2 linked regions of the Schizosaccharomyces pombe genome follow. Changing the gene in region 1 together with any one later gene gives a genetic interaction. Each region holds a gene or a part of one and is shown on either strand. Other genes may lie near its edges.

Region 1 (8,465 bases):
TACATTCTTTAGGCGTTTGAATGCTGGTTGCTTATCTTTACCTCAATTATTTAAATTCATTACTGAAGAAGGAAGTTGTGAAAAGGAAGCCATGAAAACCCGGTTAAATGCAATTTATGAGGAAGAACCTACTACAGAAGAATACGAAGAGGAATTCTTAAAAACTTATGTTCCTCGGACTTTAGATGAGGTATACGACATTGATCGAGATACTGAAATCGTAAACGCCGGAGGTGTTAATAGCCTTGTATATAAGCACTTATTAAATACAGACTTTCAAAAATTGGATTTAAATGACACTACAAAAAATCAAAACGATCAAATCCTCCCAAATGAGACTTCGGAGAGCGATGATGATGCAAATTCTATAAGTAGTATGGAAAATGAAGAAGAACGGACTTCGGATTCAAAATCATCTGCAAAACAAGGTAAAGGAAACGGACGTGCAAAGGAGACACCGGAGGAGAAGAGGGCACGGAAAAAAAAAACCAAAGAAGATAAGGCTGAGAAAAGAAAATCCAAGATTCCGAAGTATGAGAAGAAGCGCAAACTAAAACAATCTGGAAGAAAAAAGTAATCAGGGGAAAAAATTACGGTTATTTTATATAATTATCTTTATTGGAAAAGTCTATACAATACTCATAAACTAGTAGCATAACTAAAATCATTATACGTTTATAGACTTTAAAAATCGTAAAATATGGCTAACAGGGTCATCGCTTAGAGGCTGTAGTAGAAGATTTTTCACGTTGCTTCGATTTCTTATCGTTTTTATCAGGAATTACCTTTACGTTTGGCAATTCTGTATATTGGTGCTCTATAATTTCAAAATGTAAAGGAGGATCTGTTACAGCTCCCCATAGAGTCTGGGGTAAATAATCACCATATTGATTGAAAAAATCGATACGACATTTCGCCTCCGCCTGTTGTTCCTTCTCCAGGCGTCCCACAAATTCGTCCACAATGGATCTTACACAATTTTCATAGGTTTGTCGTCTGTGAATTTCCTGAAGGAGAGCGGTATACGCTTTAGCAAAATGTGTGTAATGTCTTTCAAGCTGCACGAGTTCTTGAGCTAATTGCGGAATCTCCAGGCCGGTTTGCGCCCTCATTAACTCATGCGCGGCTTCATGCCTTTGATTAGTCAACTGGTTTTTGTTTAACTCCTCAGCCAAGGCTTCCAAAATCGATGTTGCCGAATCTACCTTTGACTTATAACTTTGAACTGCGTTGAAATAATGAATTGTTTGATCTAATCCACTCCTAAGTTCTGTCAATACCGAAGGAACATGATTAGAGTCTGATTGAAGCACTTCTTGGAGATCTTTCTTCTCCGCATCAGAAAGGGTGTCATAAATATTGAGAGCTTCGGAGCATTGATCGTAATGTTGAGCAACTTGCAAAAGCAAATCCGCAAGTTCTTCGGCAGTATCGTTATAAGCGGGAGGTAAGAAGTCTAATGAAACAGCTTCTAAACGTTTATGATAATTGGCACACAAATCTTCTTCCAGTAAACCCGCTAGCTTTTCGAAAGCATTCCAAACACCATCAGTTACGCCTCGGAGCCTGGTTTTCAAATCTTCTAATGCAGTATCATCTACAAATGCATAAAGATTGGTATATTCGCTTCCTAAGGCTGGATCTAATGTACAGTCACGAAGACGTTTAAGTGACGATTCCAATCGATCATGAAGGACGTTTAATTGATTAAATGTTGGATAATTTTGAACTAGATCTAATAACTGCTTAATAAGAGCTGTTGAAGAGTCTAAACGAGTACATTGAGATGCTGTGAGCTTCGCCAACTCTTTTAGCTGTTGATGCTGCTTTATGGAATTTCTCAAATCAGTTTTTGCATCTTCATTAAACTTATGTGCATCACCACACAGTTGCCTGGCTTGAGTAAGAGCTGCTTTGGCTTGCTGAGTCCACTGCTGCAACAATTCCATCACCGCACTCACGCGGTAAAACTGTATTCCTCTTGTATGCACTCCACTGGAAAAGAAACTATATAGATATATAAGGATAGATATATATTTATATATATATCGGCCAACAAACTTTTCAAAAGGACCTTTAATACAAAGGAATTGATTGTGAAGCAGAGTTGTATGCTTGCGGCGAAATTGAAATATAGCAAGTGAGCGCATGTAGCACATATTAATGAGAGCTTGCGAACTACAGCAAATAAATTGCACAATATTGCAGTTGTTTTTCGCTATTTTTCTTTATTTACATAAAGTTGACTGAAGCGATAATTATAATATAGTTAAAACCATAAACGAAAACTAAGAAGAAGAAATGTTTGTTAAGAGTACTATAGCTATGAATAGTAATGATTAAGCAGTAAATCTTTTCAGAATTATTGTGGTTCAAAAGTAAACAGACTATTATTTTTTAAGAGAAAATTTCAGATTAGCTGATCATATTAATGGCACTTCGATGTTTAGCGGAGCTACGAAAACATCTTTAAAATTCTGCAAGACAAAGCGCTGTTATTTGGACAATTGATATCTATTAGCCTTGAAGGAGAAAAAGGCTATAAAAATAATTTGTTATGAGATTTGTATAGTCAGACCTTTAAAAGCTGCTTTGATGATGATACAAATTATTTAAGTATGCTTTTATCAACTATTCAAATAACAATAATAGTGAACCTATGGAATTAAGGGAATTCCAGATGGGACCTTCTTTCGATATTGTTCGTAAGAATCACCAAAAAAACTAACTAAGTAAGCTTCTTCGGTAGTAATTCGCTGTGAGAAAAATTTCCAAAGAACTAGAGAAAATAGTAATGTTGAGACAAAATTTCCTAACAACATTTGAGTGCCCAAAGCCCAGATAAAAAACCCAACGTATGATGGGTGTCTAACGTAAGCATAAATCCCATCAGTGACAAGCAAATGATCTTTATTTCTTTTACTAGCTACAATGTGAGAAAAAGATTGACCGGCTTGTACCATTGCAGAGGATCGTAGATATTGTCCCAAACAAAGAAATCCCAGAGCAGATGTCTGATATACCGAAAATATAAAGTTGATTAAGAAGCTCGGAAATCTTAAGCAATTTATTACCTTAGCAAAACTTTTTCCGCCACTTAATAAGCATTCTAAAAGGCCGACTAACATCGCTAACCAGTAGGCTTTGCCATTATTCAATATGAAAGAATCCCATGATAACTGACTACCTTGAAAACGAGCAGTAATGTAAAACTCTAATAGATGAAAAAGACTCAGAAATGCAAAAAAACCTCCAATACTATATCCGTATATAATCCATACGAAAAATCCCAAACCAAAAACACAACCAAGAAAGGCGCTGGTTAAGCAAATAGATGCTACAGCTATTGACGTATGTAAATTCCCCATGATTGTATATTAAATTCAGGTATGTGAATTCAACTTTCTTTATTAAATTTATCGAGAAGAATTATTGAGTCAAAATGTCCTAACAAACTAACTCATACACATTTAGAGATGTTATAATTATTAATTATTGGAGGAAAGACACGAGAAGAAATAAAATTTATGCAAAGAGGGATATTCCTTGCTTTAGCCTGGTTTTCGAGTTATTAGGATATTTTCAAAATTTCCTGCTTAAAATTATAGTTGACACAATAGGGAAGTAAAACAAAGAAAATCATACTCATATTGTATTACTTAAGTTTTGACTTCTTTTCTTTGTATTGGCTCTAATAGTTGCTAAAAGTTGTATTATATTAATGTAGTAAACCTCGATATAACAAAGAATTCAAATACTCTGTCATTAATCAATTTGCAAGTTATGAATTATTAAAAAAGAACTCTTTCTCAGTTTTGTCTAAACATATCCGATTACAAACTGATATCAACTTGTTTTGCAAATAATGAGCCAAATACTGATGTCTAACTCACAAAGGAGAAGTCCCGGTGTATGAGTTGAACAGATAACTTCATATTATTCAAAAATTCAAAGAATAAATGCATATACTAGTTCTCTAAATTGCTAAAGAATTTGTTCCTAAATTCGTCAAATTTACAACAATCCAAAATTCTGTATTCATGAATCCAATACTTATCTATGTGACTTTGGTATTAATAATCAGTTTAAGGCAACTCGCGAACAGCATGGTTAAATGCCTGTGCAACATGCTCTACATTAGAATTGTTCAAACCAGCCATAGAAATACGACCATTTGCACTGAAATAAAGATGGTACCGCTCCTGGCAAAATTGGACTTGTGCAGGCGTTAAACCGGTAAAAGAAAACATTCCAATTTGTTGTGTAATATGATCCCAAGAACCGGGGGTTTTGAGTGCAACAAGAGAATCGCGAAGACGTTTCCTCATCTCAATGATTCTAGAAGACATAGTCTTTAAATCTTGTTCCCATTCAGCAAACAATTGAGGACTGTTAAGAATTTCGGCAGCAATACGTGCACCGTAAGCGGGAGGGTTAGAAATGGTGTTACGTTGAACAATACACAATTGAGATAAGACCTTGTTTTTAGTGGAAGCGTCCTTTGCAACGTAATGCATGCAACCAGTACGTTCACCATAAAGACCCATATTTTTAGCAAATGACTGACAAACGAAAAAGTCCTTGTTATATTTGACAAACTCGTTTAGAGCCCAAGAGTCACGATTCAGATCACCACTGGCAAAACCTTGATAAGCAATGTCAAAAACTACCAGATGCTTGCGAGAAAGCAGACTCTCGAATATAGAAAGCCATTGTTCCCTAGTGGGGTCAATACCAGTAGGATTGTGAGCACAAGCATGAAGTAAAAATATACTTCCTTCGGGAGCAGATTTAATGGTACTTAGCATGCCTTCGTAATCAAAAGATCTATTCTTGGCATCCCAATAAGGATATGTATCTACAGTGACTCCCAATTTTTCCCACAAAGTGCGATGGACAGGCCAAGTAGGGTTGGAGATGTATACATGGGCTCCAGTGTGCTTTACATAGAAAGTCTCAATGAAACTAGCAGCAAGAAAATTGGCACCAGTACCAGAGACTGACTGCATAGATGCAACACGGTCCTCGGACAATAAATGAGGATTGGGTCTGAAAAGAACTTCAGCCGCAGCCTTAGTGAAACGAGGCAATCCAGCAATTGGTAAATATTCATGGTTGAAGCTTGCCTGTTCTTCCACTATTTTAGATGCTTTTTTAACTGCAGGCAAAATCCAAGGCTTACCAGTATCGTCACGATAGGCGCCAACACTCATGTTAACCTTCTTGGGATCTTCATCCTGATGGTATTGAGCATTTAATTTAAAAATTGCATCTGCCTTAGCTTCCTCAATATTTGCAAACCCGTAGTCTGACATTGTGGTTAAATATGCGGTAGGTAGATTTCAACCTTACTGATCTACTATATATATATATTTATCACTCGGTTTAGTATCACTATATTATCAGTATACTTCATTGACATATAAGATACCGAGCTTGATGTACTGTAATAGTGAATAACGATACAAAGTTTGACTCGTATAGGGAGGAGCTTAACTTTTACAAGGAGGAGCTCTGAAGTGTCTTATCGAGAAAAGTAGGCAATATGTGAAGTTATATTATTATGGTCAAAGATTGGCTTTCCATAAAGAAAAGTAATCTTTACTATAAATATCATTTTTTATCATTAGTAAGTTCAGGCAACCGAAAATTTCCAGGGTAAAATAAATGTTGAAAGACCCAAAAAATAGGCGACAACAGCCGTTGATACCAAGTTGGACTAGGTTTGTCGGTAGTGTATTTATCAGCAACCTTGGCCATAACAGCTATACTATTCACTGGATACCCAAAATTTTGGTTATTTTTTTGAATAAGCATTAAGCAGCGACCTAGCATTAACAGCTCTTTCGGTAAACGAGTGCAGTCCTGTAAGAAGCCAATGAACTTTTTGCGTTCAGCAAGCTGCTGTTGGAAGGCCTCTTTCTTTGAAATAATTTTTTCACCAGTGTGAGGTTGCTCTTCATCCATTGGAATATTTAACATGCGGTTAGCAAAAAGCTCAGGTTGTCCAATCCCCCAAGCATCCATTACCTGAAGAATAGATTTTTTGTCTAATGAATAGGCTGCAGTGAAAAGCAAGGCAAATTCTTTTCTAAACTTTTCTGATTCAAATACATATAACCCATGATCCAAAATTACCGTTTGACACAAGCCTGCTTGATTTTTTCGAACAAGGATATTTCCAGGATGTGGATCACAATGAACTTGTTTCGAATGAAACATTTGGAAGGCAAGGAATCTGAAAAGGTTCGTTAAAATTTCCTTTTTGCTCATCCCAGCTTCAGAAAGAGCAGTTTGATCATAGAGGGGAATGCCATCAGCCCATTCAGTAACCATTACTCGCTTTCCAGAAATCTCTTTATAAACCTTTGGTATATATATCTTATCTCTTAAATAATCAGTTTCTTCTACCCCTTCACGAGCATGTTCCGAATTGTTAGCTTCAGTTGTAAAATCAACCTCAGAACGTAATCTTTCCGAGACATAATCAACCGTAAAGTAGAGAGGGATATGAAATATCCATTTATCATAAACATACATCATGTATTTGTACACGAGAAGATCCCACGACATTTGCTTAGCAACATCTGGTTTTTGAATTTTTACCGCGACCTTTTCACCGCTAGGTAAAACAGCACGATGTACCTGCGCAATACTGGCACTTGCAGCAGCACGTTTCTCAATGCTGGCAAATACTTCCTCTACTGGTCTTCCATATTGCTCTTTGAATATGTCTTGAAGTTCTTCCCATTCAACTTGAGGTGCATTGTCAAACATTCCCTGAAAGGCTTTCCCATACGCTTCAGGCAAATTATTTGATTGCATAGCAATGATTTGACCCATCTTGATGTATAAACCGCCATTTTTGTAAATCGTTTTAAACAGTCTCTGTGCTACTCTTTGGTGCAAAGCATCAATTTTGTCTGCCTTTTTTTCGCTGAAATTCAACTTATAGTCAGCCGCAATTATAGAAGCGGTGTATACTGTTCTAATACTACGGGTAAGTGCATGGGCATTATACACTCGATCCCAAGCGTAGACACCTATTCCAGCAGCACCAACAAATACGAACCTCTTCATCCATTTACGTTTGTTACCAGGAACTCCATGATTTTGCAATGCTTGACTGTTATAACGTACATCAGCATATGTCTTTGATCGCTTAATGAAGCGACTGGTAGTTTTCTGCAGTAGAGAAATTGTTCTCCACGAAGTCAACATCTCTACGGGATGAAGGCTTTGAAGAAGACGAATTTGAGCAGAAGTAAACTAAGTTCAACACTTTGGATTCAAGGAAGGTAGTAAAGGGACTATCATAAATAGATCAAGTTGGCGCTGTGTCCTTTCAACATTCTCAACTTTCTGACCTAAGGCAGCCATTGAAATGCATTCTCCCATTTAGCGTATCATACTTTTGATAAATTAACTGAAGATAACGTCGCCAGTATACTATTATTTTAGACATTATATTACACAATTCATAAATAATGATATTCAGTGTAGTCGTTATGAATGAGGGATTCTGTCAATAACTTTTTTATTACAAGGTGATATGCTACTACAGCTCCGATAACACTTAAGAACATTGCTCATTGATATACTGAAAGTATTAAATGCTATGTCGGTCAATTGCTCGTCGAAGAATCGCAGAGCAACAGATCTATTCAATCCAAAAACAGGTTAGGGTTATAAACAGTCACGTAAATAGTCAGTAATATATATACCACTGTTTCCACTTTAATTTTTCCAAATGATACCTTTGAGCTCGAACGATCGTGGTTGAAGCAGTCATACAGGAATTTTTATTCCTCTAAACAGCTTTAGGGAAAGTCCCCGGACTCTTGCGTCTTGATCTCCATGGAGATTGGGACAGGCGGTAACGTGCTGACTTGAAGAATCAGCGGTTTCATTAATGGCGCTAGTTTTTCCTTTAGCCTTTGTACTTTAAACCTCAAGAGATATAACTCCTTGTCCAGAATGGAGTAGATAAGGAATACAGTCTATGAGTTGTGTTTCTTGAGCGTCTAGTGTACGAACGGTATGGTTGATTACGCCATTTCTGAATTGTGGTTTTTCGTCGTAGTTGATAGTTATACGGTCGCATCCATTTGTTGATGTATCACAATGGGGCTTAGTCTCGTGCTCAAAGGTTTTTTTCCTTAAAGAAAAAGGTTTGAAAATTTGGTTTACTCTGTCGGAGTGCTTGTTCGAATCAAGCCAGACCTACTTTTAGTTAGCATATTATTAAATGTAGCTTTTCCCAAAATATGATGATCGACAAATACAAAGAGTCAAGCACTGAAACGCGATAGCGTCTTGTTGAGTTATTTGGTCTGATTTTGGTATTCATATAAGTTTTTTGTTTCTAGAGCTGTTTTACGTTATTTAATGAATTATGTTTTCTTGTAATGAATTATAGGTGCTATGTAGCGTGATATCAAGTTTTGCTTTTTCTTATTGAAAGT
Region 2 (8,102 bases), on another chromosome or scaffold:
TTGCAAAGATGGAAGATTGATTTTCGAATCAGCCTAATTAAAAAAAAAAATCGAGTTAGTAAGATCATTAAAAACATAAATTTGTAAAAAAATTTCGAACATACCAATAATTGAACTTTGGGTTTAGCTTTGAACGCAATTCCTAAACCGGATTCGGCCATCATGACCAAATCGTTAGCTCCGTCCCCAACAGCCATCGTTTCGAGCTTATTTAAACCCAACTCTTCCCTCTTTTCACGCAAAATGGAAGCTTTTCGTTGTCCATCTACAATTGCACCTTGAACTTTTCCAGTGAGGAATTTACCATCATCGGAAAATTCAAGTACATTGGCATATGCATAGTCCAAGTCCAGTTGTCCCTTGACATATTCAGCCATTGGAACAAATCCACCACTAGCGACAACAAGAGTCGCACCCATTTGCTTAAGGCAATGACAAAGCTGTTTAGCTCCTGGAGTGAAAGTAATTTTGCCAATGACTTTATTTATGACATCGACGCTCAACCCTTGTAGTAGAGAAACGCGACGACGAAGTGATTCTTGAAAGTCAATTTCCCCATTCATTGCAAGAGATGTAATCGTAGCAACCTCTTTCTGGATGCCTGCTTCTGCCGCGAGCTCGTCAATACACTCTTGTTGAATCAACGTCGAGTCCATGTCAAATACTACAAGCTTCTTTTTAGTGGAAAATGTTGCTTCACTCAAGCAATTACAGTCTACATTCTCAGTAGCAGAAATGCGGTTACAAGCGTCTTTAGCATCTTCAAACGTTCCTTTAAGTTGGCCTGATACTAAAGTCCACTGTTCCCCCAGAGAACGAGTCTTCCCATCTCTAAACAAGGAGGAAATCTGTTCAAGCACATTTGGACGATTTGAGGAAACAACTATGGCTGCGTTGACCATGCTTATTAAAAGGTATGAGTGGGTTTGCTAAATTTTCTAAGTTGAAAAGCGTTGTTTTCGGCAAGTCCCATTTACTAATTACTCGGCTATTGATTAAGCTTAACGTTAAACGACAACAAGTACTAGGTCAATTTAAGTTATTTGAAAATCTCAAACAAGCTTATTTTTTGTTATTGTTTACAAATTTATCATTATCTTCAAAATGCTGTATAAATTGTGAAGTTGGTAAAGTGGTGCCTAAACTCCGTTTTCAAACACAGGTTAATAAGCAAATATTTTTTTTATACATTAAAGCAATAAAGCAAGAAATCATAACTAAGAAGATGTTTGGAAATATTGCAATATATCAGGGCAAATATTCCAAAAATGAGAGCCTACCATAAAGTAGAGAGTGAGATATTTGTAAAGTGAAAAAGCACTAAAAAAATATTTGGCAATGTAATAATTGTTCTCTTTCATTCCTAAAAGGTTATACACAATTTAATGTGCTTTACTTAGAGAATCGCTCAAGTACCTCTTCTGATACACCTTTAACGGGAAAAGTGCTGTATTGAATAGCAGAAGGTGCCTTTCGAGGTTCTTTACTCCTATCTCCTCGAGGATAATACTTGTAGCTATAATCAAGACTCTCATCACTTTTTCCGCTACTGCTTTTGGTGTCTTCCCAGGGGTGAGCATTTTTTGAAGGAATTCGGACTTGATCTTCATGTTGTACCAACAAGCCCCGCTGTCCTAAAAAACTGTTAGCTACAATCATTTAATTTAAACAATCATATGTAAATGCGCTTGTAAAATAAATATTCTGTAGGAAAATTTTAACAGAATATTAAAATTGAGTATAATGTTTCATTAACTGCGCTGATTTCTAATTTTCTACTAATTTTTAACATACCAAGCATATAACCAGCAACTCCAAAGGTATAAGTCATGACACACCAAGTTATCTAACAGCAAACTGATCAGCTTACGAAATAATCAACTCAATATATTTTTCAAAAAAAAATTGAGCTTACAAATAGTTCTGGATATTCTCTTGACCAGCGAACCAGGCGGTTCGACATAATTGAGCGCATAATTGACATGATGGTTCCAAAAATAAAAAGTTCTTGTTCGCTTGAATAGTTTGATTAATTGTTTCGAGATGGAAAGGATCTAAAATCCTTTTATGATTGTAAATGTCAAAATGAAATACGTAGGCGAACATTCGCAACATTTATGACAAGCATCAATATTTATGGGGATCGCCACCTGACGCAGACAAGACGTAGCAACGGTGCGCATTAAGAGATTCAAATTTGAATGGATAATAATATCATAATAATCACCAACTCCTTCTACTAAAGTGGTGAAAGAAGCAACTTTCCAATATTTCTAGATTTTCCAGCGTTTGCAATCGGGATCGAACCGCCCTTGTATTTATATTGCTTTATACAGTTTTATAATACTTTTCAGATACTACCTCTACCCTTGTATTATACTATAGAATTTGTTAGGACACTTATTTACTAAACTTTTCCTAAGATTATATTTGTAAATAATAAGAAGAGAACACTAAAAAACTTCGCAAACAAATAAAAATGGTTCGTACCATTATAAATAAATATAGTCATTTTTCAAAATTTAGCTGCCATGAGGTTAGTAACTTAATAGTAGTTGCTGACCGCAAATGTTTCTCCAGTAAAGTAGGTCCAATGTACAAGTACGTTTAAAAGCGTCATTGAGATTTTCTAAGGAATAAGAATTTAATTCATTTCCCTTTAAAACAGGAAATAAAACCAAAGGACCGCTTGGAGTCATGCATATTGAGGAATAACAATCTAATTCGATAATCTTGTGAACTACATTTCCACTAAATACAGTGAATGAAGCCAGGATGGTTTTTCTTAGATGTAGATTAGTAATAATTTTTCTTCAAAATTTCATCCATAACTGACCATATACCGTGTTTCTTGAGTTATTTGTTTACAAGCCATAGAGGTTATTGGGTTATTTCGGGGCTAGTGAAAGTATAGAGATGATCCTTTAAATTAGCCCTTTCATTAATAGCTTCGCGATAATCATAATTTCAATAGTTGCAACACTCTAATAAACTTTTAAGATCTTTTTTCGTTGCTTCCGTACCTTCATTTCTAATATTTTCTCAATTACACCCTCCCATTATTTTCCTGCTAGTTATTTAGCCATTTTAAAAAAAAAAAAAAAAAAAAAAAACATAATACACAAGATGAAAATGGTTTACTAGCTAGTCTACTTCCCATGATATTGGTCTTTTATCTTAGTCTTTGGAGTCTTTATCGAGTCATATATTACTAATTTTTCCATATATTATCCACTTTCTTTACAAACCCGAAATTGCACGGATAGTATAATTTATTAAACTTGATTTTTCTAACTTTGAGCCCTGAATTGTTGTACTGACAGGATGTTCCAATTACAGTATCGATGAAATATATTTAAATAAAAAGTTTGAAAAATATAAATACTAATATATTGGCACTCTTAAATAATTTTTTTTACATTTTATTCGTAAAAAAAAAATAAGTACTTTATTTATTATTATTAATTTTATTTCTTCGGTTAGTATTTTTTTTTTTAGCATTTCATTTCATATTCTGTTTTTATTTCCCTTCTCTTTTTAATACACTCTCATCGATTAAATAGGCGCCATTCCAAATATTAGTTATTAGAGTCACATTCTCTAATTGTTTATTTATTTTGATTTCTTTATTTGCTTAGTAAACAAACTTTGGCGGATGCTAATATTTACTTCACCCTCCATCGCAAAAGGGGTTCATATCCTTACCGACAACAAAACTACAAGATATAATACCAGGTGTAAAAATAGCTGTTTCTTTGCCATGTTTGTTGTTTAGAGAATATAATCATGAGCTATGAGAAACACAGTGATGCTAAGGCATCCCGCTACGCGTGGAATCAGCCATGGAATCCATTTGAGGTGACTTTGTCTGATCCAACGTATCCCATGAATTTGGAAGAAAAGAACCAAATTCCTTATAGATTTCAATCCGTTCCTGATGATGTTCCGGAAGTACCGCATATTGAAAGCCGATATAAGAATTTACCAGGAAACAATATCTATTTATGTTGTGGTCGATTGCAAATGTCATCTCAGTACAAAGCTTTCCTCATTAGCTTGTTTGCCTTGATTCTTCCAGGAGTCCTTTTCTTCATCTTTTCTGCTTTTTGGCTCTGGCATCATGTCTCTCCCGCTGTCCCTATTACCTTTGCTTACCTGTATGCCTTAGCCGTTGTTTCCATGTTCAAGTGCTCGACTGCTGATCCAGGAATTCTTCCTAGAAATGCATATTCTTTAACTTATAACCCTGCCCATCCCTGGTCTGTAATTCCTGAAGACCGTAAAGTCCTTGTTGGATCCACTCGGTCTGACTCTGTCTTTGTTAATACAGTTTATTGCCATACGTGCCACTTATATCGTCCTCCACGTGCAAGCCATTGTCATTTATGTGATAATTGTGTTGAATACCTTGATCATCACTGCATTTGGTTAAACACTTGCATTGGTCGTCGAAACTACAGATATTATTTTATTTTTTTGTTATCTGTCGTTCTTTCAGCTTTGTATCTAACTGGATTGGGGTTCTATACTTCTATAGGAAGTTTTCATGAATCCACAGATACAAATTTTGCGGCGCATCTTCGTCGTCCATGGGCTGGCGTATCTTTCTTCCTTGGCATTTATGGGGCACTTGGAGCAATACTTCCTGGCATCCTTTTCTGTTACCAGTGCTATTTAATATCTGTTGGTCAGAATGTTCATGAATACTTACGAGCAAAGAGTACAGAAACTGAAGATGTACATCCTTTTCATGACAGCATATGGCTCAATTTTCTGGTTGTCCTTTGTCGTCCTAAAAATGTGAGTTACGTTCGTCCCACTAGGAAGTCTTACGTGTAATATGCCTTGGCTTCACAAAGAAAATAAGAAATAAAAATTTTTTATTTGCTAGACAATAATGCTCAAATCGCTCACGCATATATGCTACACTCTTTCATCTTCCCCTTACCAATTTACTTTTCAGTACCGAAATTAATTTGGTTTTAATAACCGGAATAAAAAAGATTACTCCCCTCTTCAAAATTTTTACCTGGATAATGTTTTGTTCTTTTTTTTCATCCTTGTCGTCGACCCCTTCAGCTCGCCCTTTGTACTTTACAGAGAACAATGTACAGAAACAAATGTTTATAAAACTATTCCTTGTTCTCACCAATCTCTGGAATTATTAATATTTAATTTGGCTGCTCTCTTTTATTTTTAAAGTAATGCTGCTTGTTTTTATGACTTATATGATAGATAGATGGTTTTACCTCCTTTAGCTAAACCCCTTTCCAGTCTAATTTATTGGGATTTGCTCTTTATTGTTCTTTTTTATTATTATGATTGCCTTTTAGGCAAATCAATGTTCCATAGGTAGATAGTTTTTCTTTTTTTAATGAAATAGCTTATCCACATTTAGAGGATAGTTTTCTGGAAAATAATTTGGTATTAGACTTCTTTAATTTGATACTTGAAACTTCTATAATATTAGAACTAGCTTTGCATTACTGACCGGCTTGTTCATTCTTACTCTGGTTCATGTTGCTCCGTTCCCAGGCTTGTGTTTTCCATTCACCCTCTACAACCATTCGGAAAGCTGGTTACTGTAGTTAGGCTATAAAACTAATGACAAACGGCTCTTAAACCTAATGTCTTCTTTACACGAGCATTTACGCCCCATTCCTGAGCCTTTTTCTTTAACTTTGCTACTGGGAACAAGAGAAACACCTGTCACATTTCTGTTCCATTATTATTTATACCATGCGTTGAAAGCAAAGGAAAGTACTTGTTTTTTAACATTCAGTAAAACCTTAGATGAGCATGCAATTAGTATGCGTAAATGGGTATGTAAAAAGAGGGATTACGATTGCATAAGTGGTTGAATGATAAACTATTCGTATGACTAACCTACTGAACCAATATTAGGGAATGGATATTAAAACGAAAAAAAATTTCTTCTTTATCGATGGCTTCAGCATGCTATTTGCTCCTATTTCCAAGCCTTCGAAGGTACAAGCACCAGAAACCAAAAATCACATCAAATCTGTTTTCGCGCCTGTGATCCAATGTGTGGAGGAAAACGATTTTGAATTTGAAAACTCCACGATCATCATAGAAGATATTGATATTTTACAAAGTACTCATGCTCTCGATTCCACAAAGATTCAGCAGGCAATTTTGGAATTACGAAAATGTTTCAGTAGAGTCATTGTAAACGTGACTTTGGGAGCTCCGTTACCACAACAAAAGTCTTTAGGCTCTTCAATCGGACACATGGCAACTAGATGTATTTCCTGTCGGCCTTTGACTAGCGGTAGCGCTCGACGAATCACCGGATTCCTGCGTCTTTCTCGAATGCCAAATCACTTTCGTAGTGGAATATGCGAGACCCCGGAGGATGATGACAAGGAGCTTTTATACGAGGTAACGGAAGCAGGTGCTAAGGTATATTCCAAAGGGCAGGTGACGCTGCAACTCTAAATTCCTACTTCATCTACTTTTTCTCAATTATCTGCTGCTGCAGTCTCTTCGTCTCCCTTCTTTTCCACTTGTACATTATCTTGCACCCACCGTTTTACTAAAAATGTTCGTTGAGGCCTGGATTCATCTCCTTCTTCATTATCCTCATCATCTTCATTAGAATATGTATCTACAACAACAGGAACCCATTCTCTGCTCCAATGCACTGCTGTTTTTTCATTTTGTTGAGGTTCCACACTTTCTGAAGTCCTATTCATTGTATATTTGTAGAGTTGCGAGTATCACAAGGTGCGCGCGAATTGGTATAGGTGTAGGTTTACAAGGAAGAACAAGACGCTCTCTGCACAGTGTGCATTGATTTGTGAATTTGGAATTAACGAACTAGGTTTGGTTATTTTTTTATTTAAAATAGTGCTTTTTTAATTTAAAAAAAATTGATCGAGCCAGTTTGGTATTCATTGAAGGTTGTAGGGTAAATCGTTGTCATACAAATTTTTTATCGCATTTTTTGGAATAACTACTGGGTTGGGTAATATTTTGAAACATCTTTCATACATATAGAAGACCGTGCTACGAAATTGTTAGGAGATATGAGTGGTATATCAAAATTAAGTGATTTTTGGGTTGAAAAATATAAAAAGGAGTCGAAAAAGTCTTGGGATAAGTTTTACAAGCGAAATGAAACAAGGTTTTTCAAAGATAGACACTGGCTTGATCGTGAATTCGATTGTTATTTTGGATTGCCCGATAAGTTGCCATTGACTATCCTTGAAGTCGGATGCGGTGTTGGAAACCTCGTCTATCCTCTGCTAGAAGTGCAACCAAATTTGAAGATATACTGCTGTGATTTTAGTCCTCGTGCTATAGATTTTGTGAAGGTAAGGAGAGCTACTAAATTTATGCCAATTTGCTCTGAAATATTTAATTTACTAACCTTTGTCTTAATTTAGAAGCATTCCTGTTATAACGAAAATAGAGTTTTTCCTTTTGTTAATGATATAACCGAAGATTCTTTGCTTGAAGTTTTGGGTTCTGCTTGCATTGATACATTAACTGCCATCTTTGTATTATCTGCCATTCCACGCGAGAAGCAGCTTCGTTCTATTAAGAACTTGGCTTCAGTCATAAAGCCAGGAGGGCATTTGGTGTTTCGTGATTACTGTGATGGCGATTTTGCTCAAGAGAAATTCATGACAAGCGGTGACCCATCTATGATTGATGAACAGACGTTCGTTAGACAGGATGGAACTTTATCACTTTTTTTTCGAGAAGAAGATATTGCTGAATGGATGAAAAGCGCCGGGTTTGGCTTAGTAACATTAGATCGAGTTAATCGCACCGTTGACAACCGAAAGCGTAACTTAAATATGAAGCGTACGTTTTTACAAGGAGTTTGGAAAAAGCTGTGAATACTTTGGTAGAAAAAGTTTCTTTGTTTGCGTATTTTTTATTCTTTTATATAGGGCTTTTAATGTAATCCGTTTTAGACATGAGTCCTGAGTTTTATTGTAAGGTTTATGACAGTAACTTTAGTTTTTTGATAATTTAATTAATAAAAATAGAAAATCTTTGTTTTCTTAAACTACACTCGCATATGCTATTTAATTGTTATCAACGAGTGACTAGTATAACTTTACTTACTA

Evidence for each region.
Region 2: of mam4 (region 1) and erf2, changing one enhances a phenotype caused by changing the other (phenotypic enhancement), as found in Schizosaccharomyces pombe (one study listed by BioGRID).

Annotation. Positions count from the first base shown.
Region 1 is NC_003424.3:1,226,703-1,235,167, forward strand, and holds mam4 (protein-S isoprenylcysteine O-methyltransferase Mam4), read right to left. Parts: upstream 3,571-8,465; 5' UTR 3,369-3,570; coding exon 2,658-3,368; 3' UTR 2,393-2,657; downstream 1-2,392. Other genes in the region: rio1 (RIO family protein kinase), read left to right, coding at 1-577; autophagy-associated protein kinase activator Atg17, read right to left, coding at 714-1,949; caa1 (aspartate aminotransferase), read right to left, coding at 4,086-5,315; SPOM_SPAC10F6.14C (ABC1 kinase family protein), read right to left, coding at 5,614-7,221. UniProt on the Schizosaccharomyces pombe protein: Mediates C-terminal methylation of the isoprenylated C-terminal cysteine in M-factor.
Region 2 is NC_003423.3:1,863,134-1,871,235, reverse strand, and holds erf2 (palmitoyltransferase Erf2), read left to right. Parts: upstream 1-3,703; 5' UTR 3,704-3,786; coding exon 3,787-4,839; 3' UTR 4,840-5,415; downstream 5,416-8,102. Other genes in the region: phosphoserine phosphatase Ser2, read right to left, coding at 1-33, 105-902; SPOM_SPBC3H7.08C (uncharacterized protein), read right to left, coding at 1,393-1,634, 1,795-1,846, 1,916-1,984; elongator complex subunit Elp6, read left to right, coding at 5,628-5,822, 5,905-6,459; protein tam8, read right to left, coding at 6,483-6,716; trm141 (actin binding methyltransferase), read left to right, coding at 7,050-7,337, 7,410-7,868. UniProt on the Schizosaccharomyces pombe protein: The erf2-erf4 complex is a palmitoyltransferase with a major role in driving sexual development. Palmitoylates ras1. Palmitoylates isp3. Palmitoylates rho3.